4 linked regions of the Caenorhabditis elegans genome follow. The protein of the gene in region 1 interacts with the protein of each later gene in a pairwise test. Each region holds a gene or a part of one and is shown in the gene's direction. Other genes may lie near its edges. The genes, in order: F11D5.1, phf-34, F47B10.8 and C02B8.3.

Evidence for each region.
Region 2: the proteins of F11D5.1 (region 1) and phf-34 interact in a two-hybrid assay, tested with the Caenorhabditis elegans proteins (one large-scale study listed by BioGRID).
Region 3: the proteins of F11D5.1 (region 1) and F47B10.8 interact in a two-hybrid assay, tested with the Caenorhabditis elegans proteins (one large-scale study listed by BioGRID).
Region 4: the proteins of F11D5.1 (region 1) and C02B8.3 interact in a two-hybrid assay, tested with the Caenorhabditis elegans proteins (one large-scale study listed by BioGRID).

Annotation. Positions count from the first base shown.
Region 1 is NC_003284.9:3,330,229-3,338,356, forward strand, and holds the start of F11D5.1 (PH domain-containing protein), read left to right. Parts: upstream 1-2,895; 5' UTR 2,896-2,980; intron 2,981-3,705; 5' UTR 3,706-3,777; coding exon 3,778-3,819; intron 3,820-3,885; coding exon 3,886-3,955; intron 3,956-4,280; coding exon 4,281-4,343; intron 4,344-6,831; exon of another isoform or gene 6,832-7,048; intron 7,049-7,859; coding exon 7,860-8,010; intron 8,011-8,055; coding exon 8,056-8,128.
Region 2 is NC_003284.9:9,895,191-9,902,842, reverse strand, and holds phf-34 (PHD-type domain-containing protein), read left to right. Parts: upstream 1-3,366; 5' UTR 3,367-3,372; coding exon 3,373-3,465; intron 3,466-3,883; coding exon 3,884-4,129; intron 4,130-4,178; coding exon 4,179-4,364; intron 4,365-4,680; coding exon 4,681-4,746; intron 4,747-4,925; coding exon 4,926-5,075; 3' UTR 5,076-5,499; downstream 5,500-7,652. Other genes in the region: F21G4.3 (Methyltransf_21 domain-containing protein), read right to left, coding at 5,786-5,918, 5,966-6,036, 6,088-6,275, 6,558-6,690, 6,739-6,936, 7,187-7,414, 7,580-7,652.
Region 3 is NC_003284.9:10,903,069-10,914,148, reverse strand, and holds F47B10.8 (MARVEL domain-containing protein), read left to right. Parts: upstream 1-3,332; 5' UTR 3,333-3,380; coding exon 3,381-3,621; intron 3,622-5,502; exon of another isoform or gene 5,503-5,690; coding exon of another isoform or gene 5,691-5,793; exon of another isoform or gene 5,794-7,298; coding exon of another isoform or gene 7,299-7,371; exon of another isoform or gene 7,372-7,568; coding exon of another isoform or gene 7,569-7,632; coding exon 7,633-7,766; intron 7,767-7,970; coding exon 7,971-8,064; intron 8,065-8,185; coding exon 8,186-8,295; intron 8,296-8,349; coding exon 8,350-8,429; intron 8,430-8,480; coding exon 8,481-8,557; intron 8,558-8,607; coding exon 8,608-8,762; 3' UTR 8,763-8,969; downstream 8,970-11,080. Other genes in the region: F47B10.9 (BTB domain-containing protein), read left to right, coding at 74-231, 934-1,064, 1,113-1,199, 1,248-1,323, 1,372-1,507, 1,653-1,721; acbp-3 (Acyl-CoA-binding protein homolog 3), read right to left, coding at 9,163-9,237, 9,322-9,415, 10,604-10,724, 10,808-10,868.
Region 4 is NC_003284.9:8,136,193-8,142,577, forward strand, and holds C02B8.3 (DUF5354 domain-containing protein), read left to right. Parts: upstream 1-3,284; 5' UTR 3,285-3,389; coding exon 3,390-3,650; intron 3,651-3,709; coding exon 3,710-3,850; 3' UTR 3,851-4,051; downstream 4,052-6,385. Other genes in the region: putative RING finger protein C02B8.6, read right to left, coding at 1-127; C02B8.7 (uncharacterized protein), read right to left, coding at 1,529-1,687.

The DNA of each region.
Region 1 (8,128 bases):
GATAATTTCGGAAGCCCACAATTTTTGTTCGGGTTTTAAAGAATTATAGCAATTTACACCTGCAGAAATTTTCAAAATTGCCAAAAAAGTATACATTCTTGAAATATTTAGCCAAATTTTTTTGGAATTTTACTATGATATTCGGTCATATTAGACAACTATATTTTGGAGCATATGAGCACTCCAGTGGAAACAATTGCCTAAAAACCTGTCAATGGCACCACGGTGACTAAAAATAATACTGCGAAATTCGAAAAATCTTTAAAATTAATATTGATTGTTTGAAAACTAATTGTAAGCAAAATTCAATTTTAGTCACTAGATGTCTTCATTCAAAAAAAACGTTTTCCTTCGAATTTTATGATCTGCTTAAGTTTCATATATTAATATTTCATTTGTGAATGAATTCGAACATACGACAGTGCTATGATTTTCTCAAAAAGTGGCAAAAACTCAGTAATTGCCACTTTCACCTTACACCTTTGGCACCTTGGGAGTGGTTTTCAACAATTTTCCAACTGGCGCTACTCTACCTTTAATCTGTCAAAATCTTAAATGAGCTTAAATAGTTTCAGAATAAAACATGTTTTTCAAAGTTTTCACTGATTTGTTTTTTCCTCTTCCTCCTCACATATTTCACATATTTCAATGTTTGTTCCAATCGTATCTACTATTCCTTTTGAACACACTTTACGGACAACTATCTTTGTTGAATCATGTTTCCAACAAAAGTTTTCAATGCTACTTTTGCACAAAGAAACTGAAAAATAAACTAAAACGGACAGACAACATTTTTGTTTTAGTTTTTTGTAGTAACGAGTAGTCTTCATTTTCCCAAGTTTTCCGCATAGATTAGCTTCGTTTTCGATAATGAAGTAGAGGTGTTTAAAGATGGGGCGTGAAGAATGTGATAATGCGTATTAGCATGTAAAGCATTCTGTCCGCCCTTTAACACTTTTCCACCCATTTTTTGTTCATTTTTAAACAAGAGTTCTGCTCGGACACGTACCGAAGCAGTTCGATTTTTTTCCCGAGAGATGAAGAATTCTTACAAATGTTGGCAGAAGCACAAATAGAGACATACATTATGGCAAAAATTGAGTCAGTGTGAGGAGACAAGTGAGAGGAAATAGAGGTAGAGAGAGAAAGTGGTGAAATGTGAAAGCAAGCACACATACGTGTGCGCAGTATCGGTCCACAGTGCAAGCGGCTAGTCCTTTTTCCGGTTGCCGAAATGCGATCTTCCCTGATCTTTTTCACCGAGCGGGCGTCATGCCATGTTAACCCGAATTACTGACGAGATGAAAGTGTAGTGTGGCGTGTGAGTTTACATGTGCTCATTGAGCTTTGCTTCTTCATTGGTAACCGTTCACACAAACAGTACCGCAACTTTGTTTTACGACTCTGTTTGAATTTGAGATTTGAATTCCTATATTGATGTAGGTCAGGTGACAATACGAAAGTTTCTATTTTTCTATGTCAAGTTTAGAGTTTTGAATTTTTTGTTTGTTCGATGCTTCCGAGTGAATTTCCTTTTGAGAATCAGTGAAAAAGTCGTATATTTTTTTACTGTGATAAAACAATTTCGACAAAATTTTGGAAAATATTTTATTTTGTTTCAAAAAGTTGCAATAACTGAGTATTACCACTTTTTGCGAAATCCGTAGCACTGTCGAATGTTCGAATCCCTACAATCTTTGAATACTAGTATTTGAAACGTACATAAGTTGACAACAAAATTCAATGCAACATTTTTTTGATCGACTCCTTCCAAAAAATTAACTATAAAAAAATAAATATAAAAACTGGCCTACTCCACTTTTAAGTTTTCAATAGACAAATATACATAATTTTATTGGAAAACTGCGAAAAATCATTGAAAAATTAAAGGCGCACTACCCCTTGTGCAATGAATAAGCATGTGTCGTGTCAAAACCGTGTACTTACTTTTAGCGTAATAAATCACAAAATTGATAGTCTAGGTAATATGAACCGTGCAAGTTGAGCAATGATGGTGCAAGACTAATCGAAAAACTATATAATTTATTTTCTATGATTTTACTTCACAATTTTTATCCACCTTTCCATCTCATCCACCACGTTCCCCTTTTTTTCGAACAATGGGTAATGAATCTTAACAGTTTTTTCTTTTTCTTCGAAATCTGTGAATGTGTGTCATTTAATGTTTCCTTCCGTTGTAATCAGAAGAAAAAAGTCTACAGTTGTGGAATATGCATATGAAAAGGGGAATAATTAACAGTGTGGACAGTGTGGTGTAATTGCATACCGAGTCACTTGCGGACCACCGTGTCTGACCTTTCTATTCACCATTTTTTCGCTGCCGTCCTCCTGCCCAACAATCGTGTCGTGTTGTGTAGATTTCGTAAGATTTTATATTTTTTTTACTAAGGATTTTTTTGAATATGGGTTAACAGATTCTCTTGTATTCTATTTCAACTATTCAATTCATTTCGTAAGATCATTGCAAGTGGAATAATTGAATAATTGCGCGGCGCTATGAGATAATGTTCGTAGATCATTGCGGTTCGACTAGTGGAAACAATGTGGGTTCTTCAGCTATCACATCAGTCCTTCTGTTCATTCTAATAGTTTTGAAAAATCCACACTTGTTTTTTCCTATACTCTCAAATATAACACTTCGAGATCAAAATACAACAAAGTCACACATGTGAGTAACAAATTTTAATTTCTTTTTGTCCTCAATTGTGTCTTCCTCATTTTCAACGTCTTCTTCAACGCACCTAATTCTGCCACAATTCGAAAATTGTCTTTTCTTTTTTCCTTTTTTGGTTGGTTTGTGTTTCAAAACTGTCGATGTCTACTTCCGTTTATTTTGACTGCCAATTACCAACTTTCGATAATACGTTTATTTCCAGAAAACCACTAAACTGGAAACCACTGCCATCGCTCAGTTTCCTTCACAGGATACGAAGTCTGCGCAACGGCAAAAGTTTCCCACGTAAGTGTTTTATTATGAAGTTGTTTGAAACCAAAATATGGTTGAAAATTATATTCATAATAAATAAAAATTCATTTGGGTTTTTCAAACTTGAAGTGCAGTTTGATTTAAAAAATATTGTTGTTTGAAAAAACTAAGTGAGCGACAACAAAAAAGTATTGGCAACTGGAATATTTGGCTTTCAGTGTCGAGTTTGAAAATTTTGAAAAACAAAATGCTTAAAAAATTTTCAGATTATATCTAACAACTGCCAAATTACAAACATTTTGGCAATTTGACAATTTAACAATATCCAAATTTGGAAAAATTTGGAAATTGCCGAGATTTAAAATTTCTGATATTTCGGAATTTTCGGAAATTTTCGACCTTTAAAAAATCATTTTTTAAATTGTTTCAGCACACCTACAAAATTATCACATTTTGGAATTTTCGTCCAACTTTTAAGGACAAAAATGATTGTGAAGCAATAGAAAATTATCTTGTTGATTTGAAAATAACTTATTGTTAGGTAAATTTTAGAATAATCTCAACGCCTGAAAAAAACCTCAGTGAAATAAAAAATGAAACTTTTCCGCTAGCTAAAAACTATTGTTTTGGAATTTGGAACCAGTTAAATATTTTTTAATATGTCGAACTTCTGGACTATTAAACCGAAATTAACAAAATGTTGCAATTGCTCTGAAAACTTACAGTCAAAAGTATTTTAAACCTAATTTGTTTTACAGATAAACGAACGATTGATCAAACTTTTGTTCCTTGAAAGAAGTATTTCATAAAAACAAAATAAAAAACAAGAAATGGATTGCAATGGAAACATTGCGGAAAACCCTTTCCTCAAGGTAATTTTTTTTTTAACCAACAATAACTTCTCTTTCAAAACTGCCACCCACTTTTGTCATTTTCAGCAGGACAATGCAGCAAAGCGTTTGATAAGAAGGCGTCCGATTATAATCAGAGATACCGACACCAAGAAATGTAAGCACTGATATATTCAAACAATACTTTTATTTTTCTGATTCATAAAAAAAAGCGCTCCATAATAGTAAAAAATCGGTTCAAATTGTTTGATAGTTGTTCTTTTGTCTAAACCTCTACCGTCGTTCACACAGTGATAACTTTACTATCTTATCACCAACACACGCACCAAATAACCTCCCATTGAATGTGCATTTTGTTTGGTGAGCGTGCCGTGTCGTTTGCTGCATTTGAACTTTTATGACTTTTAATTTTTGTTAATTCATTATTAGGAATTTTTGAAAATAGATGTTTATTTAAAAAAAAAAAACGTATCAATTTGCAGCTGACACCGGCTTCAAGATGAAAAGTTCGGAAGTTGGAGGGAACTTGGAGTCGCCGAATAGTGGTGAGTCATTTTACAACACGTTTCTCTCAAAAAAAAAGTTCATTTGAAATTGACGTGGCACCATGACTTTCGTCGAGAAGTAATGAGAGTGAATGACAATTGTTCTAAAATAAAATGACGACTTGAGTTAGTCATCATCATGTCAGCGAAACTGAATTTGTTTGCCCAGTTGTCTAAACAAAAAGAAAAACATATAGGTTAAACTCTTGCAAAACATGAAAGTAGAAAAATTGAAACAGTTCAAAATGCGTTGCTGAAATCACATTAAAATCTTTTTTTGATTTATTTTAAGTTTCAAAATTTCTAAAGCTGCATTGATTTCATTGACTCCGAAATGAAAAATTAATTCACATTCCAAAAGACATTGTAGTAGAGTCGTCTTGGAATTTTGCAAAAATTATTGGAAATGGAGCGTAATGACCGATGCAACTGAAAAAATTCATTAAATTTTTCTACATTTTCTTAATTTTGCAAAAAAAAAACATTAGATGATTATTTTTATGAAGTAGCGCGGAAATGAATGACCTAGTTTCGACATATTATGACGGTTTTTCGTTTTTCTTGAATATTTAATTTAAAACACAGTTTGTCAAGTTTTCAGGTAGTTTTCCGCAAAAAAACAATTCATATTAAATTATTGGTTTTTAAGCCAACTTCAAAGTTTTAGCGAAATTCCGAGTTATCAAGTTTTTTACAGGCAGGATGTCTGAATAACTTAGAAACTTATATTTTATGAAAAATTATCTAAGTAACTAAGTAAGTAAAGAACAGTTTTCTAATTTTAATTTTGAATAAAATTCCAATATGACTCTACTTTGCCATCAGTATTGAGATTTCTTGAACAAGTTCCAAAAAAATTTGATGATTGAAAATTAACTTCTTATGATTAAAGCAGTAAAATTTGGAATTAACTGAAGAATAGATATTTTGACAAAAAATACGTTGTACATATATACCTGTATTTTTCTTTGTATCTCCAATAGGATCATTGCCTAATTTCAATTCGAACGCACCCACGTGGAATGTGATTCCCTTCCGGTTTGATTTCACGTAATTAGCGTTCCTTCCTTACCGGCATGTGTCAAACTTCACGCGAAATCTCTGAGATCACAAATGTATTTGCTCAACTCGAGCTCTCTCTCCCGTTCTTTGCCTCAACTAGCACAGCTTTTCTTACGGCTTTTCCATAAAGTATATTGATCTTAATTAAGAAAATTTGTAAATATTCTTTTTTTTTCTTGCTTATCGATTATGATGTCAACTCAACATTTCGCACGTTTATTGCATTTTAGTTTTCGTATCATCAATGTTTGATAGTATAGTTTGAAAACCGAGAAATACCAAACAAGAAGGAAAATGAGAAAAAGAAAGTAAACAAAAAAAAACGAGTACACATTATGCTAATTTTTCGTCTTTCATGTAAAATCATCATGTAAAATCTGTGTCAAATTGGAATGCGACCACACCGTAGATATCAGAATCTCTCCACAAGCCGCACATCTAAGATCTCATTTTTTTTGTCTCTTTCCCCTACATTTATTCCTCGGAGATTGCAGATGACGGTTCAATAACCACATTGGGTCGCCTGGTTTTTTTTTCGCATTATTTTAGTAGTGGTGTAGCTAGTTACGCATGCATACTTTTTGCTGTATTTACCGGCGCTTGTATTTATTTCATCTAACACCAAAAGGCTAATGTTATGCAAAACAAATAACAGGTTCATCCTTTTTCCTTCCAGATTTTTTGCCGGGAGTGCTATACTCGGTTTTCCAATCTGCCAGTAGCCGTTGATTCATTTTTTGCCTTTTCTAATTTCTCCTAACAGTAGATTTTGTAAAAATATGTTTTGTTAGTTTTCCCTAGCGATTCCCTCAGGGTGCGCTCTGAGATATTTTTCATTGAAAATTTATTTTCAAAATGTGGAAATCTTTACGGAAAATAGTCTTTATTTTGTCTAAAAAATCAGTAGAAAATCTCTAGAATTTCCGGAAAATTTTCCTTTTTTGGCAGTTGACATTTTTCAGTTCACTTTGAGAGTGCTGTCAAAAATGACCTATCATAATTTTGGAAGTCGATCGAAAACCATTTTTTTCTTCCAAATTATAAATTTCATTCATGTTTTCATTATTTAAAAAAAAACATTTTAGAGGTTCAAATCTGCAGCAGTGTTTGTAAATTTTCAAAAATACTCGAATTTTGGAAAATTTTGGCAATATACCAAAAACATTTAACTGACGAATTTGAAAAATTTAAATAAAAAGTTTTGGAGTATTTCATATGGTCAGACTTATAAACATACTGAAACATCTAAAATAAAAATAATTTACGTACCAATAAAGTATATTTCCACATGTTGGCACTAGTTTTCATGAAACCTAAAAAGAAAATGCCGCAATCTTGCTGTAGAATTAAATATTTTGAAGCAGTTTTTTGATAATTAGGCGATCTGATAAAGCTTGCCATACAATAATGCCACAATTTATAAAAACAACTCTAAACCCCGAACTTAGTGATCTTTCCGTCTTCATCTCGTTTTTTCGTTGATTTTCCGTATCCATTCAAGAGCTTTTCTTTCACTTATTTTGTGCCCATCCGAAAAAGCACTCAAGAATATAGTGCCACTGATACGGTCATTTGTTAGCTCACGCTCATGCATTTCTCGCTCACTTGATTGCCCCTCCCTGCCCGTAAAACACAGGTTTGTAGAGGCTTCCTCGCTTTTTCTTCCGAATGACCAACACTCTTCAACATGCACATTGTTTTACGATTAGCAGATTTTGGTGCTCGTCTTTAAAAAGCAAAATAGTTTGCTTAGCGACTTATTTTTAATATATTCTTGTACTTCAAAACTCAGCTTTTGTGCCCGTTGTAGCTCTTTTTCGACTCGAGTAAATTTTCTCCAAACTATTTTCTATTCAGACACCAAACAAATGTTATAATGAATTTACGACGTCACTCTTTGTACATCCCAGATTTCTGGAAACCTAGTAACTTTGAGCCGTCGGAATACCACAACCTTGACCCTAGGGAGCAAATTCCAATCTCTCGAAGACTCGGCTCTGCATATGTTCGCAATTACATTCAGAAGCCAGATTCAAGTCTGAAAAGAAGGATAGCTAGAACTCAAAGTGAAAGAGTACCTTCGAATAAAAATGGTTACAGACCACAGAAAAGTGGTTTCACTATACCAAGAATACCGGAACCCATGGAAAATGAAGTAATCTATACAAATCTTCCGGGAGTTGATCAGCAGAGAAATTGGTCGAGGTCACTCGAGAGAAAACGAAATTTCAATCTCGAACAGTCGTCCGATTATGAAAACCTTTCCCATTTTTCGTATCGACCTGAACACAAAAGTTGCTCAGATCTCACGCAACCGTTTGAGATGTACAAACCAACAACTATTTCTATTTCGTGCAGTAATATAGCACAAGGTATACCATTGTAATTGCAAACAAAATAACTGAAAATCATATTTTTTTTAGCTTCAAGTTTATATATATTATTTAATTTCAGATCTTGAATATGGACCTGGCATTGTTGAGAAGCTCCGAGCAAAATTTTCAAAAATGTCTGGTGCGCAAAAACAACAGAATGTTTATGCAAATGTGCAGACTAAAAACTACAGTTCATGCGATGATTTGTTATCCGAAGCAGATACTTTCCAGTAAGTAATTTCAGGTTAGCCCCTGAAAATGTGATAAATTTTCAGGACCGTCTCCAATATTTCACACGCTCAGTCAGAACTGCAAAGGAGAACTTCTCGTTCTATTAGTGACATGTTA
Region 2 (7,652 bases), 6.6 Mb from region 1:
ACTTATCACCAGCTCCAGTCACACAGCCCTCAAGACACTCAAATTCCATTCGACGGTGGCGCTCGAGTAGGATCGATTTAGCCTAATGGAGATTTTTAAATGACATTTGTATAGTGATTAATTATTATGATTATATAATCAGAATACCCTTTTTACACCAATGCTTTTCTGAGAACATTTTTCGGAATTGGTGACCGTTGACGAAAGTGACATCTGGTGAAAGTTGATAAAGTCAAAAAATAAAGCTCCCCCAAATGTTGTGATTTTTCTTCCTTATCAGGCAACTATCCTTCATGCTTAAAGCGTTAATGTAATCAATTTAAATTTGTCTTAACTTAAAATGTCAATTTGGTTTTTAATATTTTGATATATTCCACCGAATTCACAATAAGTCAATTAAAAACTAAAATTTATGTGACCCATTTGTTGAATTCATGTTCAGCGCAAATCATCGTGTTTTTCGGATTTCAAAATAGTTCAATAGCGGTGTTCGGGTAGTTTTTAGAAACTACAAATGTTTCTTGTTTTTTAACAGCCTGTTGGAAAACAATCATCTTAATAGTTGGGAACAAAACTGATCAAAAGACTATTCTCGAAAAATTTAGATGAATTTCTTAGAGCGTCCTCCCACTGGTTTTTCGGGGAGCTACGCAAAAATTGACTAATCAATTGTATAATTGAAACTGTTTATAAAAGTTCACAACAATCGTTTGTGAAAAATGACTGTTTCGGGCAAATTTTTCGCAACTGACAAATTGCACTTTTTTGAAAGGGGCAAAGAGCTACCTAAATCCAAACATAAGTTGGCACAATGAATGTTCTTCGACTCGGGATAGGCTATTTTGAGTGCCCATAGTCTTGGTAATTATTCGAAATATAGAAACTAGTTACTTGATCACATGAGCGCAGCAGGAGACGTTCGGCTCTAGACCTTCTCTAAAATGGAGGAAAATTATAGATTCCCGATGTTGTAAGGCTCTCACTACCTTCAAAGTTGATGGAAGTTTTATGGAAACTGACTTAAATGACAGAAAATATTGTGAACTTTCAATAATATGCAAATTTGAAAATTTTGGTAACAGGGCAACCCCAGAAATCAAGTTCTTGCGCGCGTGCAGCAGGTCACCTTAATTATGGACCACCTCTGTAATAACAAGCAATCTCAAAACATTATTATTCATGCAAATAACATCAGGAATGGCGGTGCGGTCAGGTTGTCAGAAATTCACAAATTTGGAATTTTTTTTTGTGAATTAATAGATCAGTTATTAATAGAAAAAATTTTGTGTTTCTTAATCCGGAAAAATGCAAAAAAAAAAACGAAACTCGAACTTTTACAAAAGTCTAGCTGTTTTAACTACACACCGCATTACTCCAGAATTGTATCTGTTCTGTTAGTTTTGTACGAAGTACAAGTGATCGAATTGAGTTTAATGAGAAAGATATAGTGTGGGCCAAAATTACGATTCTCGATTAAGTTTCAATGATTTATTGCCTCTAATATTTTTAATTGTTCAAAATGATAAATAGCACGGTTCGAAAAAGTAAAAATTTGAAAATTTTATCGACTACGTCGATAGGAGCATTTTTACTTTTTTCAGTAAAATTTTCTCCTACTTCCTCAATTTTATGCAGTTTTTTAAAAAATATTTTTACTATGTGACCAAGTACCAAAAGTGGGGTACCGAAATCTGGGGATTATTTTTAAATGACTCCAAATTTGCCCCTGATTCCGAATATCGATGTCAAAAAATTTAAAAAAAACCCCCTGATTTTATATTTGAGCTTGAAATCGCGATTTTCATTTGTGCCCTGGTCTGCTTTTTTGAATACGCGCCGAAATAAAATATCCTTAGAGCGCGTTTGCCTCATTTAATTTTCTCCATATATTTTTACTTTTTTAACCGTTTTTCAGCTTTTTTCATTATCGTATTTTATCGTTTTTTTTTGAAAAATAATATAAAATATGGAGAAAACTAGCTTAAAAACAGAAAAAAGAAAACTTATTTGGAGAAAGTAAAATGAGGCGAACGCGTTCCAAAGATAATTTTAACAGACCCGGGCACAAATGAAAATCGCGATTTCAAACAAGCTCAAATATGAAATAAGGGCTTTTTTTATATTTTTTTCACACCGATATTCGGAATCAGAGGTACCCCACCCTTAAGAAAACGCACAAGTGATAAATCTACAACTATACACTGTGCTCACAAAATGGGAAAAAGTGGAAAAAGTTTTTCAATCACTTTTAGTGGCCAGTGAAGCAAAAAGGTATTTTTAAACAAAAAATAATTTTTGATAACATACCAACTACCATTTTCATTAATGCTTTCTGTGTCACTTTTTTACCTAAACTTCAGTTGTTTCAATCTGAGTTAATATAAAAAATTGTAGTCTTGCACTTCTTGCATGCCAGACTAACCAAAAAACACTGTTCAATTTTTTAAATCCCAAAGCATACGTTTCCTTTTTACTAAAAAAAAAATCCATTTTACTTCTGTAATTATTTTCGATTTTATTGAAATTTAAAATTTGGTTTGACTTGTCTTCTTGATTTATAATAAATAAAATTTCACCTAATGGCGTTTTCCTAAGGCAGGTGCTTAAGAAAACCGAACCAAGATTTTCTGTTTTCTTGTAACCAAAATGCAACTAATCAGGCTTTCATTTGAAACCAGAAAAACTGGATTCTGTTAATGTTATTTGTTTCCCTCCACAAAATTGTGTCAGCATCCGATAGTAGCCATAAAGGAGCACGCTTTGATGCGTTGTCCAATTTTCAGTTGTATACACTTATATACTCTTGAACGAATAATATCCACCAACTTCTTCTTTCTCTCGCGCTACACCAAGCGAAATGTCTCAGTCTCTCACACACTTCATGGTCAATCGTGACACACTCTCGCATACACACACAGCGATGGCGATTTCTTCATTTCTCAAAACCTCTCGCCTCTAGTCTCTCCCTGCTTTCCGAGGACTGCCGCGTTGTTGTGTGTATGGATGTGTGTATATTCTTTTCTCTTCTTCTCGTTTGGTTTTCTATTGCAAAGACATCTCGATTCAGACAGACACAATTCACTCATTTTATTCATGTTGAATTTGTTCATTTTTATTTTTCCTGTTCGTCAAACGGAATGTGCTTCTCACATGATGTATACTCTTAAAACTTGTTTTTAAATAGTTTATAGTGATTTCGATTGCTATCGATTTTACACAGTTCGAACAGGCAAAAGCCATCCTATTCTGATACATTTTGCCAAATTGTTTTATTTTTATTTTTGCTGCTTTCACGCTTGCTATTTTCACAGAATCTAGTTTTTGTTCGTTTGCTGTTTGAAGTTAGTTCAATTTTCATATTTGCAGGTAAAAATGGATCCAAATATTCCTGGTCCCAGCAATGAGCGTGGATATGACAGCATTATGGATGAGTTGTGCACTGGCCCGGTTACTGTTTTGGAACAGGTAATTGCTTATTTTTTAATCCCACAAAATTAAACAAAATATATAATTTGGAAGTTTTGGATACTAGTTCAAACAACCACTTCAATATTGTGCAAGACAAGAAAATAAATCCAAAAACTTGAATTATCAATATTTAATTTCAAATTTTATATTATCGAAAAAATACTATCGCACAATTTTCTCATAATTTATTTTTGTTCTACCTTGTTGACTAGGCTCCTCCCCTTCCTTCGACAAGACAACCACAACAAAATAACAACGGCAACAAGATTGGGGGCGGAGTCACTTTTAACAGGTAGATCAAAAATAAATCACGAGAAATTTGTGCGATCGTATTTTTTCGATAATATAGCATTAATCAGAAAAAATTGTGGAGAGATATATTTCCATCTTTTCAACAATTGAAAATTCAATTCAGGCTTTGGAGCAACTGGAGCGTTATCCAGAACGTGGACATCTCTACCTCGGCCCCATTTTATTCGGGCCAGAGCCGTACAAACTCCGAGCTTGTAAAACATGCATTCGTCTCGCTCGACACGGTTTATCCGCTAGTCGATTCACGGCTGAAGAAATAGAAAACATGACAGAATTGTGCCCTACCCATTTAGATGAGCAACTTTCCGAGGAACGAGCAAAAGCAAAGGCAGCTTTAGAAGCTAAATTAGTAAGTATTTATATATATTAGTTTTAATAATTTTGACTTTTGTTTTTAGGCTAAACAACTGAAACAAATGCAGGCAAAGCATCGCAAAGAGATAAAGGAAGCGGAAATGGCTAAAACTATTAGAAGTACAAAAAAGACAAAAGTCGGAAAAAATGGGAAAATCGCGAAAGTCGACAAGAAAACAGCAAAGACTGTGAAGGAAAAACAAGTTCTTGATTTGCCGCAGCCGAAAATCGTGAGTTTTGAATTAGTAATTTTGGGCTACCAAGAATGAAATCGTATGAATGATTTTCTTGATGTAGAATTATTTCGGAGTATTGAGTTCAGTTGTTTTCTATTTTACAGGGGAGCAGAAATAAACGTGTAAGAAAATCATTTATTTAAAAAAATACCAAATGTATAGACTCTTGTTAAGAAAAACAAAATGGCGTAAATGGATGAGAAGTTATTCTGAATGAAACTATACATTTTTAATCATTTTGTGAGGAGTCGTCCAAATTTGAAGAAAATATCCAGTGTGGTATTACTAATCAAGTTATCATTATTTTTAGGAAATCAACGATGAGGATATTGATCAGTACATCCTTGAGCAGGCAGCCCCAAAGAAAAAGAATGTGGTAAGTGATCATAAAATTGCAACTTTCTAGTTTTTCATTGAGTGTGCTCCGCTTTGAAAATTTTGGAATCTGATAAATGTGTTGCCATATTCACATCTTGTTTTCAAAAAAAAATTTAAAAAATGTATGAAAAGAAAAATAAAACCATAACTAATTACATTGTAAGATAATAATTTCAGACTCGGTGGATCTGTCCAACTTGCGACAAGTCCTCGAAATTCGGAAGTTGTGGATGTGTCGGATGTGGCGACTGGTATCACATCACATGTGTTGGATTCAAAAAAGCCAAGGAAGTCCCGGACAAATGGGCTTGCAAATACTGCAAATAATCAGATACAGTTTAAAATTAAATAAGAAGCTTTTTAGAATTTTTTTAGATGTTTGAAATCCTAGTAGTGTTTAAAGTATTAACATATACTTTATAGTTTTCTTCTTGCACTTCAATCAGTTCCTTCGTTACACTCTACGTTTGTCTGTATTTTAGTATAATTTCTCATAGTTACTGCATGTTGTCCAACACAAAATCGATCTTATTGCAACCCGAGTAATATAAGATGTCATAATTCCCTTCTCAGTCTGAGATTTCATTTTATGTATATTCAGAACCGAACATATTCATTGCCGTCCAATACATATTCCGGTCCTTACAGTGTGCAATAATGTGATTTTTACCTATTTATTTTATTAGTCGGTTTGATAATTTACCTGTATATGCGAGAACAATCTTTATTTATTGATAAAATATTTAATTGCATTTATTTGTAAACTTAATTCATGAACCCATTTATATGAGATTTTGTTGAGATTTTGTTGAGATTTTGGAATGAAACAATTGAAACAAAACATATTTTGCGGAGATTATTACTCCAACAACGTTATGGTAGTCGCATTTCATAAAGTTCTTGATATTGTCACTATTATATAATATATTGTAAGTTTTTGGCATGAGGTCTGCCGAGCAAGGAACACGAAATGGCAGGTGTCCTCAACCTTTTTCTCATCTATGTACAAATGTTACTTGAACAATTTATTAACAAAATTATACTAAATCTATATCATTTAAAAATGTTTTTTCTAAATATCTCCGAGCACACTCCAAAGACGACGTGTTTACCCAGAAGACTCTCAAATTACCCATATTTGTTACAGAATGTAGTGTGTATTTTTTATCTCTGTAAAACAAATTTTAAAGGAGTTTGTATTCTTTTGTGAAACATACCTGATGAACTGTAAAATGTGCTGTCGAAAAATTTCCTTGCGTGGATCGTTCATTTCTTTTGGTAAATGATACTGAATTTTTATTGATTACGAGAGCTTATGTATGTCATATTCAGAGTCTACCTCAATATTGATTTGACATACTGATATTCCTGCTTGTTCTAGTGTACCGTTCCTAGCAAGATGAGACATCATGTCGTATTCTCCACCGTCGCCTTCAAAAATTAAGTAATCAATTATATCCTTTCGAATGAGATTTTTGAAGAAAATGTCAATCCCAATGTGGTTGACAAACTTCGAAGACATTCGTTCTGAAACAGTTTAGATTATTAACAGTGTATATTATATGCAAACACACACACATATATGCAAACATGAACGTTTTAAAAGAAATTTGAATACATATAAATATTATCAATACTAATGTAAAATTATTTGAATCGTCCACGTCTGAGAAATTTTATTTACATAGGAACCTTTGATTTTCAAGTTCAAAATGCATTTCTTGTATAAAATTTTTGTTAGTATAAACAGTTCTCCTGATTTACGCTTTAAAAGAAATACATTCATAAACCACCAAAACAATTACTTACCGACTGAGAATTTAAGTGTTGCTTGTTTTAGTCCAGTCTCATTTCCAACCGCAAACGGGAAGAACGTCCCGATTGATGAATAAATTTGCGAATTTTCCATGAAAGCCGGATCTGCCCCAAAAAACTCAGAATCCTGAAAGAAAAATGGCTGAAGCTACTATTGATGTTTATTTTGAGGTACCGCTGACAATTTTTTCTTGAAATACTGTTCAATAGAAACATTTGCACCAATTCCAACCCTTACAAATGTGGCTGATGTGTCTGTTGGATTTGGAGTGAAAAATTTCAAAGCTGTTCCAGAAACTATTTCAGGTTCCATATGCCACAAATCAGTTGATGAACGACATTTGTCTGTGTAGGATCCTAACTTGTGCCACAACTGCAACTTTTGGGAAATAAAGTGAAACTCTGGTTAAAACAGTGGTTGAAATGGAGCAACACGTATTTCTATATAAGTTATGGTTTTTGGATTTGAAAACGTCATATCTGAGAGACATTGTTATTCTGTTCAAATTAATTCAAGATAAAATAAATTAATTATCACGATTCCCAGTATTTGTTAATGCTATCAATCATGATTTTACATTATTCATCATAGGTACACATAAAATAATTATAAACCAACTCACACTATCAAAAAGTTCTCCAGTGTTACTTTCCTCCTCCTTATTCTTTTTTTCTGCTTCACTAACTAACCATTGCAAATAGCTATATTGAGGATCTTCGGGGTCCATGTCATCTAGCGATATATTATTATCTTGCAATAATTCCCTCATACACGCTCTCCATTTTAAAAAAGCCAATCGCAGCATTCGCAACTCTTTTGTAATTGAAAAATCTGGTTCGACGTGCTTGTTCTGAACAGATTTCATTATTCAGTCATAATTTTAAAGCGCCGCTGAAGTTTCAGACAGTTTAAAATTTGCTGACTATTGACCATTACGGTTTGCTTGTTGAGCGCAAACTGGCTTTTGATAAAGATCGTAACATTTTTTATAATAATCCACTCAATTCAACCTCACCTGTAATTTTTCCAAATCGGTCTGGTTTTTGGAATGAATTGAAACATTTGCAAAAAATAGAATAACCACCAGA
Region 3 (11,080 bases), 7.6 Mb from region 1:
TTGTGTTATTTAACATTTTGGAGCTTGCGGTTTTCCGTTTTTGCATTAAAAATTTGCCTGTTTTCAGATCAAGATGGTGGCAATTCATGAATCGGTTCTTGATGGGATTAGAGAAAAAATCAGTCTTTTTTCTACTGAGACCGTCCTACGAAAGTTTCAAATCGACACACAATCTGACACACTTTATGTAAACCTCAGCTATTTGGCCGAACTGTCAGAGTATTTTCATATGTAAGTTTTTTTATTGAAAAAAATTATGAATATTTAATTGTCACATTTAGTTTTAAAGATAGAATAATCTTTGAAAAACCAACAAAAATATTTTTTATTTAGACTTAAAAAGGCGGGGAAACTCGACGACTTCCAAAACAAATAGGTAAAAACTGAGTTGTCACCCCTTTTTGAGTTGGAAAAAATGTCGTTTTTTAAAAATGTTTTTGAAAAGTTATAGTTGAATATTTTAAAATCAGAAATCATTTTCAATTTTTTCCTTAACGGGCGGTTTTCCAACTTCAATGAGTCCATGGAAAAAATTTAGTAAAACTGTTTTCACCTGACCTATACCAAAACTGGAAGGTGGAAGTTGTTTTTTCTTGATGATTTTCAAAAAAAAAAATAAATTTGAGAATAAATTCAAAAACCGAAACGGCTGTTGGCCCACAAAACTAGGGAAACCAAAAATAAGAAAAAAGGTTCACATACAAACAAAAAAATTATACCAATGTGCTTAGAAGACAGCTTTTTCTTACTTTTAGGTGAAGAAAATTATTACTCTGGTCTTTACTTCTAGTTAAATTTTAAAACTTTGATAAACTTAAAAGGAACAACAAAAAATTTGGTTTTTGTAAAAATGTGGGAAACTCTATAACTAAAACCCAATGAAGCCGTGAAAAAAATTGTATTCAACTTAAGATCCCATATTAAACATTTCAGTTTGCGCACAGGTTCATACACCGAAAAAACATCCGAAAAAGTAACTCTTGATGATGTATACACAGATGAACTTGTGGTGTTCCTATCATACGTGTGCCCGGAAGGATTTGAATTTGACCGCACTATCAATCGTAATTTTTTTTTCGTTTTTAAAAATGAAGCACAGTCGATATTTTCAGAACAAAACATCACGCCTCTTGTTTACTTCTCGGATCGTCTCATCTTCCCATGGGTTAAGCAAGAAATCAAGAAATATTTCAAAAGCGGTAACTCACTTTCTCAAACAAATGTGACGAAATTATTAAAAATTTCAGATGACTTCAAAAATGAGTTGTACGATGCGGAGTCGTTGATTCAGCTTTGCTACCTTCTTCACACGCAGTGCTACGCGTTAGTCAAACGTTTCCCAGTAAAAGGCAAAAACCAGTACTCTTACAGTAGCGGTGATATTGATCCAATTTTCAAGAAGATTGCACGGCTCGAAAACATCTCGTTGGTTGATAAAGCAGTAGCCGCTATTTCAGATGCCAACATGCGCAGTTATTTTGCCGAGAGAATCATTCATTTCAGACCAGTAAGTATTGGACTTGGTTTTTATGTTATATTTGAAAAAATCTTAATCCATGTTCAAAAAATTAAACTTAACTCTAAACAAGTTACAAAAATATGATAACTAGGCAAGGTAAAAACTAATATAAACTAAACACTCTATATTTCAGTACTCCTATCAACCAAGAGCCCAATCGTTTTTCGATTGGAATGATACTCGAGCTCGTTTATTTTTTTGAACAACCTATAATTGAACAAGTTATTAAATTCGTCTGCTGATTAATGTATGACAAAAACCTGTATTTTCTGAAAATTGATTTTTCATACTTTTTGAATACTTCAAACTGTATATCTCATCTCATGTGGCTCAACCATGTTTTCTGTACATTTTTGCGTGTTCTGTATTTGTATTGTTTACACCTCTTTACCTTTGCAACTTAAAGACACTTAAAAATATCCCAACTGTACCAATATTTCATAATGGTTATACAATAAATAATTGAAGGATTTAAACTGAATTGGTTTTTTTCTCACACAAAACTACCGTATAACCGTAAAATTGTATAGCAAAATTTGGGGAAATAGTTCTTTCATAAGTAATCTTATTAATATACAAATAAAAAGTCAAGTTTACAACAAAAAAAAGGTATTTTAGCCGCTGATAACAGACATATGTATAGGTTGTAGGATTCATAAAATCAAGGATGATTTCAAAAGTCAGTTTATTCTTTAGAACTAATAATAATATTTGGTTGAAATAATAACCGAGTTATAATTAACTTTGTATGTTTTTTTAGAAGTGTTAGCATCGCCTGGAATTAAATTGGAACAGTACGGTTGAGAAACTGTTTGAAAAGTCACAAAACTCACCATCTACTTAAAAATCTAAACCATGGAATTTTCTGATAAATTTCTGTTGGTGATTTTTTGGCATTGAATTTTTTAGAAATACGGCAAAATCAATTTTAAAACCTAGCTGCGGAGAATTTGAAAATTTTTATAACCCCGCATCCAGTTGGCTAATAAAAATTAACTCGTAAAATCTGAACGAAGGCATAGGTCTCGAATGCGTGGAACACAATATTTTCTCACTTTGAGCGCCAAAATTTGACTTTATATCATACTTAAATATGTATTACTTTTGCTGTCATCATTTAAATATGCACCACATTGTCAAAACGTTTCTCTAATCCGCTAATCATTAAAAAAAGGTTTGGTTGAGAGTTTTAAAACGGCTATTCACTTCAATCAATTCATCCTAATAATTTTGTTTTCGTTCTTTTTCATAAAAGTTGTTTTTCTTCGATCAGCTGAGCTGTTCTCATAGTCAAATTACTGTATCGTTTTTAATAATTCCAGACCGTTAAGCTTTGAGTCATGCTAAATATTTGATTTTCCTGAAATTACAACGCTTTATTTGTGGTGTGCATTGTTAATTCTTTTTTTAACGACAACTGTTAATGTTCAATGATAATATGTGCAAATCTCTTGAATCTCTCATGCTCTGTGAAAAAAGTATCCAATATTTTCCTCTCAAAACGCGACTAGGTAAGTGCACGTATAAACGATGCAAGATTTGACCGACCTATCCATTACCATAAATTTCATAAATCATTTACTTCTCACCTCTCGCGACCACCACCGGTGGCATGAAGACGAGACGTAGGGGCAAAAAGAGCAAACAAAAAAGAGTTTTGTTTTTATTTTGTACCTGGTATCAAGCACCAACGAGGTGCTCATCGTTTAGTGAAAAGCGCCGATAGTGACAGCAGTTGTGTTGGTGTAAGACAATTAGTTTGAGCTGCCTGTGGTAGAGGCATTTATTCGCACTCCTCCTTGATATCCGTGTGTCTGTGCCAAAGAGACCACACCCACCCGAAGAGATCTGTTCAGTTCAAATGGCGCGCAATGCGAGGACACCGCCATGTCCGACACCAACTCCAGCACCAACGATTGCACAGTGTCATTCGATTCCATCGATCCGAATTGAAAGATCTAAAGATGAAAATGGGATATCAAAAGAAATTGTGTCCGCACCAAAGCCAACGCCACCTCCCAGAACTGTTACATACGGCAATACATTAATGCCTACGGCAAATCGTCTTCCAAGACAGCCGAGACAAACATCATTGCGATCACGTAAGTCATTTTATTCGGTACTTCAGTAATTATTTTATTTGTCAACTTATTTGAAACGTGAATAGAATTGTCATTATCAGGCTTGGAAAATATCGTTTCTTGAGCCTAATAATTAAAACGAATGTCACTTTTAAAGGCTGAACGTTAAACTTTACAAATATGGGGTTATAATACACAAGCACCTTTTATTTTTTGTATGTTCATTAGCTTTACGTAGTTCCTTGACCGTTATGGATATTTATGTAATAATTTAGTGTAAACTCTCCAATTTTGTAACTTTCTTTATGACGATCAACTCCAATTTTTTTACTACTCTGCCCAGTTCTAAAAATAACAAAATTTATTTATACTAGTTGGTAGAAAATTTGAACTTTGATACATTTTGAAAAACATTTGGTTTCACTTTTCTAATTTGCTACAAAAAAATTCTGGTTCTTCCAAGATTTATTTTTCGAACTTCCTTCTTAAATCCAAAAAGATTGCTTCAAAAGCAGCTGACCTCATTGCATTTGTCTGATACATTTCATCAATTTCTCGCCCATACAACAATTTTTGTGAACCTAGAACTCATCACTATTATCCACACAACACACACACACATGCATGTCCAACCAATAATCATTTCATGTGATAGCAACATCTATCTCTCATTTGCCCTCCTTTCCCATTTGTACTCTCTAATCGGACCAGTGACGGATGTTAAAGTATGAATCTCGGTTTAAAACAAACATAGGATTTCACGTCCGACAAGACAAGCCGACGTAAAGGGTCCTTGTCGAACGATGATCGATCATTTCGCTGCTGTGTCATCTGCGGGGTCGATTAGCGGTTAACAAGTGGATATTCATTGAATTAGAGTCCAGGGTCTGGCAGAACTTAAGGACCAAAGTAGCAGGAAACATAATTACTCAATGGGTGTGAAATCAAGTGACAAATACAATTAGACAACAAAGTGACTGTTACTTCAAAGTTAGATTTAAATTTTTCAAACATTTGGTGCTGAAATGGGAAGTTTTTATTTATTTATTTTTTCCTCGTATATTCAGAAACATTGCTTTTACTTTGCAACAAGTTAGATAGTTACTGCATTTTCTCTATTTGTAGTGCAGCCTCTAATAGCCTTGCATCACTACAAGCCAATCATAATTTAGTTTATCAATCAAGACTAAGACAGAATATATCACATGAGATTCAAAAATACTTGAACTGAAAAATATTTTATTAATTTATGCGAACGTTTTGGCTGGTAATGGCGTGAATCTATGATTGGTTATAAATCAATTTCAAGGAACATGTTTATATTAAAATTAAAATGATAATTTAACAACTTTTGCTTGATATTGAAATTTCACAAGTTATTCTAGATGCCGATTCCCTCTTAATCGTCGGCTTGTAAATCCTGAAAAAAAAGCATACACTTCAAAAATTGTAGAGTAAAAAATTTTCAAACTGAAAACGAGAAACATTTCCAAAACAATATCAGACAATAAATAAAACTTTCATGAAATAGAAAATAAAAATGTTTCTCTAGTTGAAATAATCTAGATAAACTAACTTTGAAATCTGAACTGAAACTTTCATTTTTTACCAAAAAATAAGATTATTTCTTTCCGTACTTTAAACTAGCATACGCCCCATCAATTCTTTTTCTGATACATTCCACAAGTAAATAGGAACAAAGTGTTTCAAAGGAATCTCATGTTAAAAGTAAAGTGTCAATCGAGTTTCACAAATTTAAAAGGCAACTTATATTCCTAAATTTCTCGAACGTATTCTATCTCAACTCTTACTTTCTTTGCACGCACACCCTTTTCCAAATCTCATTGACACCATGAAAGAAATCTTCGGATCAACTGTTGTTTTCGGCACACACACGAAGTGTTGAAGCCGCAAGGTTTCTCCAAAGAAATTGCGTCGTGTGTGTGTGTTCGAGAAAAAAGAAGAACTGACAATTTTATTTTGATTCTGTTCTATTCCATAATAGGCGTCTTCGTTTTTTTCAAAAATAAAAATAAAGAAGAAAACGTGAAAAAAGTAAATATAAGAATCGAATAAATTGGAAAAGAAGAATGCGCAATGACAATGGCATGAAGCGTTCTTCGAGTATGCCCAAGTTGTTGATGAAGAAGAAATATAATATTCATTCGATTCCCGGCATCATCGTTCTAAAAGGTAATACAAATGAGATAGAAATAAATAGAAGGATGACTACTAGGTAGCTTACTCTTCTGACTACAATTTCTAGAGTGATGTATTTTTAAATCACTCGGATGTGTTCCTCGAAGTGTATCTTTCAAGAATCCGATAGCATCACTGTTAAGTTATTTCCTGTTGAACAACCATATAGCTTTGTGAGCTTTTTTTGTAATTTATCTCTATCAACGTAGACTTTTCCACATTACGTGAACATTTTAAATATTAAAATGTTTTTTAACCTGCTTATCAAAGATGGAAACTTTGTAACTTATCAGATTACCATCAATCCACATTAATCTGTCTCGGTGGTAAAACTGAACACATTTTAGCGGATTTGTCTCCACCACAAAACAAGTCGTTTTTATCACAAGTGTTTTCTATTTCTTTTTGCTTCTTTTCATTTGTTGTTCTACTCCCACCACCAGGTAACCTGATACTTTCCGGTTGGGAGGTCCTTCTTCTTTTCTTTTTATTTGAAGAAATTGGCGGAAAGTCTTAAATTATAGCAGTAGCATGCCCTATGCTTTCACTCTACTCTAAATTGTTGTGGCTGATGATATCAATATCACTATCAGAAGTCAACAATCTCAATCTCTTTCTCACTTTCCGCAATCATAATCACTCATTTTCAAGCTCTAATGTGTAAACTCTTATCAACAAAAAGGCTTCCGAATGATAAATGGATTCTTCTCCTGTTTTTATTTGCCTCTCACCTACCTTTTCTTCCTCAATATCCATCCTCATTCTTTCGTCATTACACATCTCCTCCCCAACTGATCTACCACCAGGCAAGACGTATTGGACCACATAAATATCGGTTAATAGGCGCCACCTATCATTGATAAGGGCGTGAAAAGTGCGCCGAAGGTAGATGAGCTTTTCAAAGCACGATTGGAGCAATTGGTGGTGCATTAAATGCGGGGAGAAACGCAAAGCCTCCAATATTTTTTCCAAAAATTTAAAATATGTATGCTTTGAAAATACTATGGCAAATGGACATGGTAAAATCAATTGTGAAAATATTTAATAAAAAAATTTTTCAAGCACTTACGGCTTCGATTTTTATTTCATCATCATTCCCAACAAAATCATCATTTCATCAACAGTTCTCAAATTATATTTAATTTTTCAAAACCGAATTGTGTTTAAATGATCACCTGTGGTGTGTTCAACCGAGTAAAAAAGAAGACGAAGCGCTTGAATGGCAGTGATTTATGTTTTTTTCTAAATCCAAGACGTGCCCAAAACAACACACATGCATATCCATATACTGCTCACCTCAAAAATCAAAATTTGGATAAAAAGTCTGTCTGCGTAAAATTGAAAATCTGCTGATACTAGAATATTCAAGGTTGCCGATAACTCAAAAACGATCGTTTTTATCACGCTATTCTAGAATAAATAATTCTGTGCACGGAGTTGTTGAAGCTTCTACAAAATTTTCTTCATTTTTTGATTTATTTTCTGCCATCCTGTGTCTGATGAATTTTGAGCCGTATTCAGTTGTTTTGGAATCAGATAACCCTGACTGTCCAATTATCAAGATTCCGCATTGTAAGTCGATTTTCTTTACTACACTTCTATTTTAAAAACATAAAAAAATGCTCAGTTCTTTTTTACATTTATCCTCTCAAAGTTAGTAAAAAGTGGTCAAGATTCAATTTCAACATTGTTTAGGACGCACACTTCTGTTATTGAATCTTTTCTTTCCAAGATGTTGTGCATTCACTTTTGGCACATTCTGAGCATTCATGAGCAAGGACCGAAATATTATCTACTATCGTGATCTCTACTATTACACTGTTATGTTTGCAGATGCAAACGGAAATGAAAACGGAAACGGAAACGGAATAATGAAAACGCCGCAACGGGAAACTGTCGTGAGCCTGGGTTTCACGGAAGATCCCATTCCTCCCAACAGTTATTGCTGCAATTCTTGTCATATTCAAGTAAGCTCGCATATAAAGTGTTCCCTTTTACTGGTTTCAGCAGATAGTCAGTTTTCAGATAAAGTAGAATAAGCGACTGCAAAAAAATGTGTGAATTTTTTTAAAAATTGTTGACTATAAATGTGATTTGAATAGTTTTTCTACGATGCAGATAATAAAAGAAAGTTGAAATATAATGTTTAAAAAACAACAACAACATTTCAGAAAGCGTGCCGAGCAGTTGCAGTATTTGCCTTTTTAGGATTTATCATAAACCTTGTTCTATATTTTATGGGCATCTCAAAACTCGGTCTAAACGGTAAGCACGTCACAATTTCTTGTTTATACCAACTATTTGCATACTTGTTTTGCTAAATTTATTCAAAATCCAATTTGTAATTCATTCATATAATTCTTTTCTCTATTTTTCTTTTTTGCAGGATATCTCGAAGCGTTCCTTCTTATATTCGACTGCATTTCTCTGCTGACTCTGTTTTGTGGTGTCTCAAAGCAACGTTCGGGATTGCTGAAGCCGTACTTGTTTTACAATGTATGTTTATTTTTTGCTTCGTTCTTTTTCATGAAACGTATAATTATGTTGCAGGTAATATGGAACTTTGGCATGATAATTTTGTTCCTGGTTTTTGTGTACCACATGTTGAAGGGAACTAGTGATGTATCGAGGTTTTGGGAACTAACAGACTCGGAACAAACTAAAAACAACTATATTTACAGGAACATCCTCGACAATCTTAAAGCTTTGCGATCAAATCCAGATGAGTATCACTTCCGATCAAGAGAAAGTGTTACCAGTGAGAACGATTATACTACTTGTGAATATTTATACTTCAAAATTTTTCAGCTGCAATCCTGGTCACACTGGGTGTGATGGCTGCCATGTCGTTTGTTATAGTCATAAATTGCATATTTTTGCATGTTGTCTACCGCACTTTTCAGTTTTTTGCATACCAGGAAGACAAGAAGAGAGAGGAAATGGATAAAAAGGAACGCTTATAACCTTTGCAATGTTTTATCTGAAATGTTTAACCTCGTGCTTTCTATTGAACTATCTCTTACACACAAACATTATGTTGATCTCTTATGTATTCCGAATTCATTTAATTTCCTTCTCGGGTGCTCGTCTGATTTTCATTTTTATTTTATATTGTGGATTTAAAATTTATTCACAGTTTCAACTCTACTGCAATAAAAATTATGTATACATACAATGTTCAAATTTCACTATTACAAATGCAATTCATAGTTTTCATTTTCATGCAAGATTCTTCCAATGTACAGTAAAACTATAGAGTTATTCAATTTACAAAATTAATTCATATTTATTTAGTATCAAGAAGCAATACAAATAATTATATTGTTCGAAATTTGAAAAAAAAATGTTTATGATAATTAAGATTTACTTTCCAATGAGAGCGAGGTTGGTTTTGATGACTGGGTCAATTTGTTCAAGCCAAGCGGCAACATCAAGTTCCTGAAAACAAAGTAATTCTGAACGTAACTACTAGTTTCTGCTACAAAAACTTCAAACGTTTGCCGACAAGACCCATTCACATACCTCGGCGATTTTGTCAAACATGTCGTTTAGAGCCTTGATATAACGCTCTTTAGCTTCATCTTGAGACACTCCTTCGAGCTCTTTCCATGAGTCCCTGGAAATCGGATTAACTGGGGTTGGTCAGGAAAATGCCAGTAAATACTGTGAGCCAGTTGGAATTAATTGTTATTTTTACATGGCTTCAACATCAATAGTCGCAACGTACCATTTTCAGACAAGTAGTTAAACTATTTTGAGTTATTGGAACTGACCCATCTAACTTTTTCAATTACTATTGTACATTTTATTAGAAATGTGTACTATTAAAAGTGCACTAAAAATCGGTGTTTGAAAAATTATACCAGCAGTCTGTTTAGAATTGCGATCTTAGCACTCCACACTTTTACAACTTTTTTTTTAGCGCCAGCCAATGAAATAAATAGAAAACATTACAAGATATACTACCTTTTTATGGATGTTTCAAAATCACGACTGTTATAATTAGATACGATCACTCGTTCTTTTGAAACTTTCTGATTTTAAATAATACTTGTATTTAAATTGCCTTTTTTGTATTATTGCCTTTTAGAATAAAACCTTCACTATCGCCAGCATTGAAATAATGTTCCACCAACACATATGTTTGATGGGTTCGTTCTTTTTATTCATGAACGAGTACTTGTGTAATATCAGTACACCAAAAAATCTTTTTAATTTTTTTCAAAAATACAATATGAGTTCTTTTTGAATTTTAGACTTAGGAAAAATCTAAACCTAAAAATGAATTGAGCATTAAAATGGTTATTTACGTTGTGGTCATTTTGGAATTTTATCCATTGCATACATTGTGGGATACAGTAACTACACAAGTACCCATGAACGGAATTATTTTTTGAATCCATGTTTCTACAAACGTGAAAACATTAATACAGGCTTCGTGTTATTTTTAAGGGGTATTTCAAACATAGTTTATGGTTTTGAAGAGACCAATGATCAGAAACGACACTCTACATTTCTTCAAAACTTTTTATTGATAATTTCACAATCATCCGTTCCTACTCGTTTTTTGTGGCACCATATTCGAAGAAAATGATAATTGCATCGTTTGCAGACACAACGCCGACATTTGTTGCATAGCGATAAGTTAATATATATTGCGGTCAAAAAATCAACACACATAACTCACGCAATTCTGATGCAGTTTAGCTAGCCACGCGGTCATGACTCATTTGTCAATGAAATAAGAAAAAAAGAATTCCCCTTTTTCGAATCAGACAAAGGAATAATGAAAAAAAAAACTGACCACTTCTTTCTCTCGATGATGGAGAAAATTCCTGGTCTATCGGTGTTCACATCTCCGATAGAAGCCTGTTTGAACAAAGAGTAAAAGGTAAGCTTCTGATCATTGCTGGTGGCAACTGGTCCTAGAAAAATTGTAAATTTAGCTTTGAATCAACTACATCATAGCATAGTTTGTAGCATTGTAGCGAATCAAAGTCCAACGTACCTGTTTTTGGAAGTTTCTGGATGATTTCCACAGCAGCGTCGAACTTTTCTTGAAGAGACATTTTCTGAAATAAGAAAGCGTTGAAATTTTTAGGTTAATGAATAGATTAAAAAGATTAAAAAGTTCGAAGCGGTTTTCAAATTGCAAATTGATTGACTTTTTCAAAGGCCTTGAAATAAACTACACCTATTTACTTAGTTATCAAACACGGTTTAAATCAAACAAGACATCAAAACGAGACTAGAATCCAAAAAGTACAAAACAGGGAGAACT
Region 4 (6,385 bases), 4.8 Mb from region 1:
AGACGGCACAGTTGAGCATATCATTTTGAATAGAGCCTTTGATGCAAATGTAGCAAAACTCGTGATTGCAATCAAGCCGCACTGGCCTGTTCGGCGTGTTATGGCAGATTGTGCAAATGTCGGTCATTATACACCTGAAATCGATTATATTTCACTGCATTTATAAAAAGTGAGAAAAGGGTTTAAAAGTAACACTTAGCAAAAAAAAAAGTTTCGCAATAAAAGGCTTAGACAATCATTATCAAAGTTTTATCAGTAGCAATTGCATGCAATTGTATTTTTTCAATGTGTACTGTACGAATATTTTTTTTTTTAAACTGATAAACATATTGTGTTAAATCACAATTCATTTCTTCTAAAATTTGCTTAGAAATTGTTGATAAAATGATATTGAAAACATGCAAATGTGCTAATGTCTGCAATGTGTCGTCAAATACATTGTGCACGTACTATCGATATGCAACAAGAGTGACCCCGAAGAGACAAATGCATATTCACTCTGTTGAGCGAGAGAGAAGAGGAGACACAGGAATCATTGCTGAGTGATGGAAAGCAAATAGGAATGTGGAGTCTAAAGACATCGAACGTATGTACAGAGTGGTAGGGTGTCAGACAAATTTTTCACACTTGATAGTCAGGAATCGATACAAATTCACTTTCTAGAAAGTTGTGACGTCACCCTCATTTTATAAAGAACTTTGAAGACTTCTGCGCAGTTTTATGCTAACGATTAAATCTGAAAATTTCCAGAAGTCTAATTTCAAAATGTTGATGTATCGAAAATAACTTGTACTTTTCTTGATATCTTGTTCCGCACTAATGCTTCGATTATTTTGGTGTTTTTAAATAAGAAAAAAGCAATGCAACGTCACCGTGATGCTCTCGTTGCTTGACGACCAAGTCAAACAATAGTTTTCGTAGGCTTCTATGAAGCGAATCTGTTCGAGCTAATCAAATCTGATTTTGTGCACTTTGGAATGACGATATTGTAGAATTACCGAGTTCAGCGCCGTAAGAATCTATTTAACCTTTTAAATTGAACTGAAACTCTTCTATCTCCAAGCAGCTTCTTTGAATCTGAAAATTTCAGAATAAAAACTGCGGTAACGGTTCACATTTTTATTCAGATTTTTTTATAGCCTTATTGAAACAAATTTTGTTAAAATTGTAAAAATATTGAAGGAAACATAGTATTAATTGAACGACAATAAAGAAAAATTGAGAGACTGAAGATGTTCGGAACATTCTGGAAGTACATCAAAAGAAAGGGAATTGGACGACACGGACTAGGGGGATCGGAGAACCGAAAACACGTGTTAGAAACCAACAGATGGAATTGAGGTCATATTAAAATCCAGGAAATCCGTCAACGTCTTTGGTAAATTGCAACCGTCTCTTTTGCACAAACATGCATGCTCACTTGAGATGGATGATTAGCTTTGTGGAACTGGAAGGCTTGAAATGAGTGTCTCATAGAAACACTTTTAAAATATGTTGATGTTGTCGGCGCTGGCTATCTGAACTTCGTTTACACGGTACTATAGCTTTCTGGGGATGGCACGTAGCTACTAACTTGGTACACGAGGTCACTCATTGTATAGCCCTTGGAAAGGTCGTCGGAGTCAATGGGCTCCCAGCAACGTATGAGCTTGGTGAGTTGATCTTGGGCATCTTGGACAGCGTTCATGGCGGTTGGACGGGAACCGAAGGCAGATGCCAAGACGAGAGAAGATATTAGGATTTTTCTCAAAATCTAAGAAGGGGTCACTCGCTGTATAGCCCTTGGAAAGGTTGTCGGAGTCAATAATCGGCATTTATCTGCAGATTCTTGCACAAGTTCAGCCCTAATAAATTTATTGAATGGAACATTATCAAGGCTTCCTATGCCTGCTTTTCAAAACACACGCTGGTCAAATGCAGATTCGTTATTTCATGACTTTCGAAATGATTAATTTTGTTTTGTGAGCACCATGCTTATTAATTTAGAAATTCAGATAAAACAGTAATATGCTTTGACGTTTCTTCATATTTTTTAAATCACGTAAAAATAGGCTACTAAATTGCAGTATTTAATTTTCTCTCAAAACGAAAAAAAGCCACTTATGAGGTTACTTAGAAAAGCTTCAGAAACATTAATAACTAAGCTTATCAACGCATGTTATTTCTATTCTCAGTCTTTCAATTGCAAAAGGTTTTTAGGGATTAATTAGGTAAAGTTTAAAAAATCTAATGAAAAGAAGATTTGATTTTTTGAATTTCGGTTAACATTTCTCAGATTTTCGTTAGATAAAAAAGGGGCACATTAAGATTTTTTCATTGAAGCTAAATTATCACAAATGGGAAGTTTGTTTGAAACTATTAACATTGTGCGAAATTGATAAAATATATGAGTGTGTACATATTTTATGAAACGCGTTAATTAACAAAATATGTGCATCAATAATTTTTGAAATGAATGTAAGATTGAGTTTGTCTCAATATAATGCACCACAACACTTCATGCTTATTGTGTAGTTCATCGTAAGGTCTCGTACACAACTCGTATCACTTAAAATGGCAAAAATGGGTACTGCAAAAAAGGACACTGTTTTCTGGGAGAAAATTAATCATAGTTTTTAAAAAGATTCAGAATGTTTCTCGTTTAACCAACATAACACATATCATTCATCCTATACTACACCACTTTGGAAAATTCGTTTTGAAAATAATGAGTTTCTAGATGTTAGTACAATTCAAATGTTCCCCCGAAATTGGATTCTTTCCTTTAACTATCAAACTAACTCTATAAATTTTGTATCAAATAGTTTCTTAAACTTAATATAGTGACGTATTAGCCCAAAAACATCTGAGCTCATCCAAAGCTGTCTCGACTTCTGTTCAGCCAAAAACTAATGCATTAGAAATTGGCTTCGACTGTGTACACATGAACGCTTGATTATATATTAGATATGTAACATTTTTTTTGGATACTGACATAACAAGTGATAATTTTCTCAAATTTTTTCCAGATTCTGTTGCGTGTCAGTCACGGAGTGGCAACGTCAGAGCCAGGTACACACTGTAACCGGTTTTGTGCCATGTACACTTCGAAAGTGGGCGGGATGTTTCATTTCATATGATGCTCATCCCTGCAATCCTCCTCGTCACTCAATCTGCACTTTTGTTTCTCTTATATCTTATACGTCTCTTTTCCAAAGACTCTGTAAGCCCCGCCTTATGGAATTCTTGCTCCGCCCTTTCAGCTTTCATATTCAAACAGCGCTGAGAACAGTATTCGCCAAAAGCTGAATTCTTTTACAGCTTAACTCTTTCGTGCTTCTTCGATGTTGAGAAAAATCCTTATATCTTCTCTCGTCTTGGCATCTGCCTTCGGTTCCCGTTCAACCGCCATGAACGCTGTCCAAGATGCCCAAGATCAACTCACCAAGCTCATCCGTTGCTGGGAGCCCATTGACTCCGACGACCTTTCCAAAGGTCATACAATGAGTGACCCCGTGTACCAACTATGTAGCTACATGCCATCCCCAAAAGATTACAACAAGTTCCACGTGAATGGAGTTCAAATGGACAGCGACGACTACACCACTATTTTGACAATGTTTGCCAACCAACTTCCAGGATACGCTGTTTTAAATGTCTGTCTACAAGAGGTAAGCTATCAATACAGAAAGAAACACTGAAACAGATTTTAATGAGACATTTATTTCAGGCCTTCCAGTTCCACAAAGCCAACCACCCATCCCAAGTCAGCCTGAGATGTTTGTGTCAAAGAGACGGTTGCAACCTGCCGAAAACGTTGACGGATTTTCTTGACTTCAACAAGGGCCCAATCCCAGCTGTTAACTTCTAATTTGTGCTCCAATCCTCCTACTCCTTGTTGTTCGAAACCGTGCCCTCACTCGTGCTTCCAGAATGTTCCAAACATCTTCACTCTCTCAATTCTCCTGTACTGTCGTTCAAAGAATGCCCTTTTTCCTTTAATTTATTTATAATTTTCACAAGAATTGTTGCAGTAAGGCTACAAACAATCAGAATAAAAATGTGAACTGTTACCGCAGTTTTTATTGCTAAATTTTCAGGGGTACATAATAAAGAATTTGCATGGGGAGTTGTTTTCCAAACTATAAAAAAAGTTGTTTCTTATAATTATAACAACTACGAACAGATTTGTTTTACAGACGCCAACAAAAAATTTTCGCTTAACTTGTTTTAGTAATCAATAAGGTCATTACTGTGACGTGGATAGGCTATGTTCTTAATGGGAAAACCAGAATAAGAAAAGCATTGAGGCAGAGCATAATGTCGATGAAAGTCCAAGTTTACATTAATACATAAAAATTTAAATTAGACTTATCAATTCCAATAATAAAAAACTTTGAAAACATAAAAATTAAAATTATACAGAACGAACTTGAAATGAACTAAATTTGTTCTTCACTTTGCTTCCAAGAAATCCTGAAAAAAAAATCTTCTAAAACATCTTTATTGAAATTTAATCTTGTAGTTTTGCGGAAGTAATTCCAATAATTTAATTGTGTTTTTCAAATAATCCTTGAATTGAGAACATCACAATTTTCAGTATTTATCCCGCTTAAAATGACGGGAACTATCAAAATTTGCAGAATTCCTGTGATCATCATTTCCTTTGAATGCTTCAATTGTTTTTGAGTTGAATATCTTTCAGTCCTGCTTGATTCAATAACAATGGAAAAAAACTTTTAATCTGAAGCGATGACAAACGCGTCAAAGCCCAATGCTGCAAGAAAAACTAACGTTATCTACCATGGCTTAATTTTATTCATCTAAAACATATAGGTGCACTTTTGGAGGCTTAGAAAGTTTTATTCAAGCTCAGTGAGCATGTGAGTAGTTCCACGCAAATGTTAATACCGATGTTTTGGAACGGGGACACAGGATAACGTTGATAACCGTTGATCATGAACTTGAATAGACAAATTAGAGAAATTACAAAATTATCTGGTGCGGTTGCAAAAGCGTCAGAAAGTTGCTCACTGGGGGAGCTTTTTAAGTATGCTAAGAGATATAGGGCGAGGAATTTATTTATTTAAATTTTATATATGTGTGAAATTTGAAGGATCGAAAAAATATGCAAGTAATCAAATGCTCAACAACATATTCAAATCATTCAGCTCAGCTTCATTATTTTGTAAAATATTGATCGTTCAAATGCAATGATTTCGTTGAAAATTTTAAATGTTCATTTGTCAGGGAAAACAAACGTTTCCATACACATTTTCAGGGATAATGAAACTAGATGAGATGGAAAAAAACTATCTGTTAAGTTTGAAGAGTGGCTAATCAGTTTGTAATTATGCGTTTTTCACGGAGAAGTAGCGCCAAGGGAATTTTTTTTTGCAAATTGTATTTTGTTTTAATTTCGAATGTTTGTATTTTAAAGTTATGTCTTTGTATATACGACATTGTTCTAAACGTGCAGCAGTGAGCTTGCAGACATATTCAGTTGACACTTTTCATGCACCAATTGTTGCCTAGATATTTTTCGGAACTTTGCGTGCTTTCATTTTTCATTCTTTAGAAAACTAAGCATACACCAACAACAATTCTTTTCAGTGTTAATCACGGCTGTATTTCTGTTGTGCCAATCATTTTTTTTACAGACCCATCTGTTGTATTGCATATTAGAGAACGGCAAAAATTTTGAACAGTTGTTCCGATCGCATATCTCTAAAATAAATGGACACGAATGGACGGAATGGACGGATATTGTTTGAATGTGTCAAACAAATATATGTCAACAGAGTATACGAGTTATTCTGCTAGTTTTAAATATTTTAAAAAACATCAAAATTTAATATCGAAAGTTTTCACGCACACTTTTGTCTGTTGTGAATTGTTTTCATGAGTATATGGCATGCTTTTCAATTATTTCTAAACACATTAAATAACAATTTGAAACCTAAATTCTTCCTAAATAATATTCATTCGGTATGTGACTCTCAAAGAAATTTCATTTATTTGTTAACTGATAATTTTTGGCATTTTGTCGATGACTTTATCCACGTATGACACATATACTGCATAAATTTTTTTTCATTTTTTTAAATTATTTTTTTATTCGAAAAATTCGAATAAATTGTATAACACTTAACATCTTTCTTTCAATAATAACCTTTCAAAACTTTTTTCTATTTTGCTAAAAAACTGACGCCATTGCCAATTAATAGGGAAAAGTTCAAACGCATTCTATATTTATAACCGGTATATTTTTTTAACTTTCCTTAATTAAAAAAACTTAACTTTTTTCACTGCCCAATAGAAATTTAATTCATTTTTGACGTATGTATTCCAAATGAAATTCAATTTTGAACGTCCAGGAATAGCTAAAATCAAAAAAAAAACAACA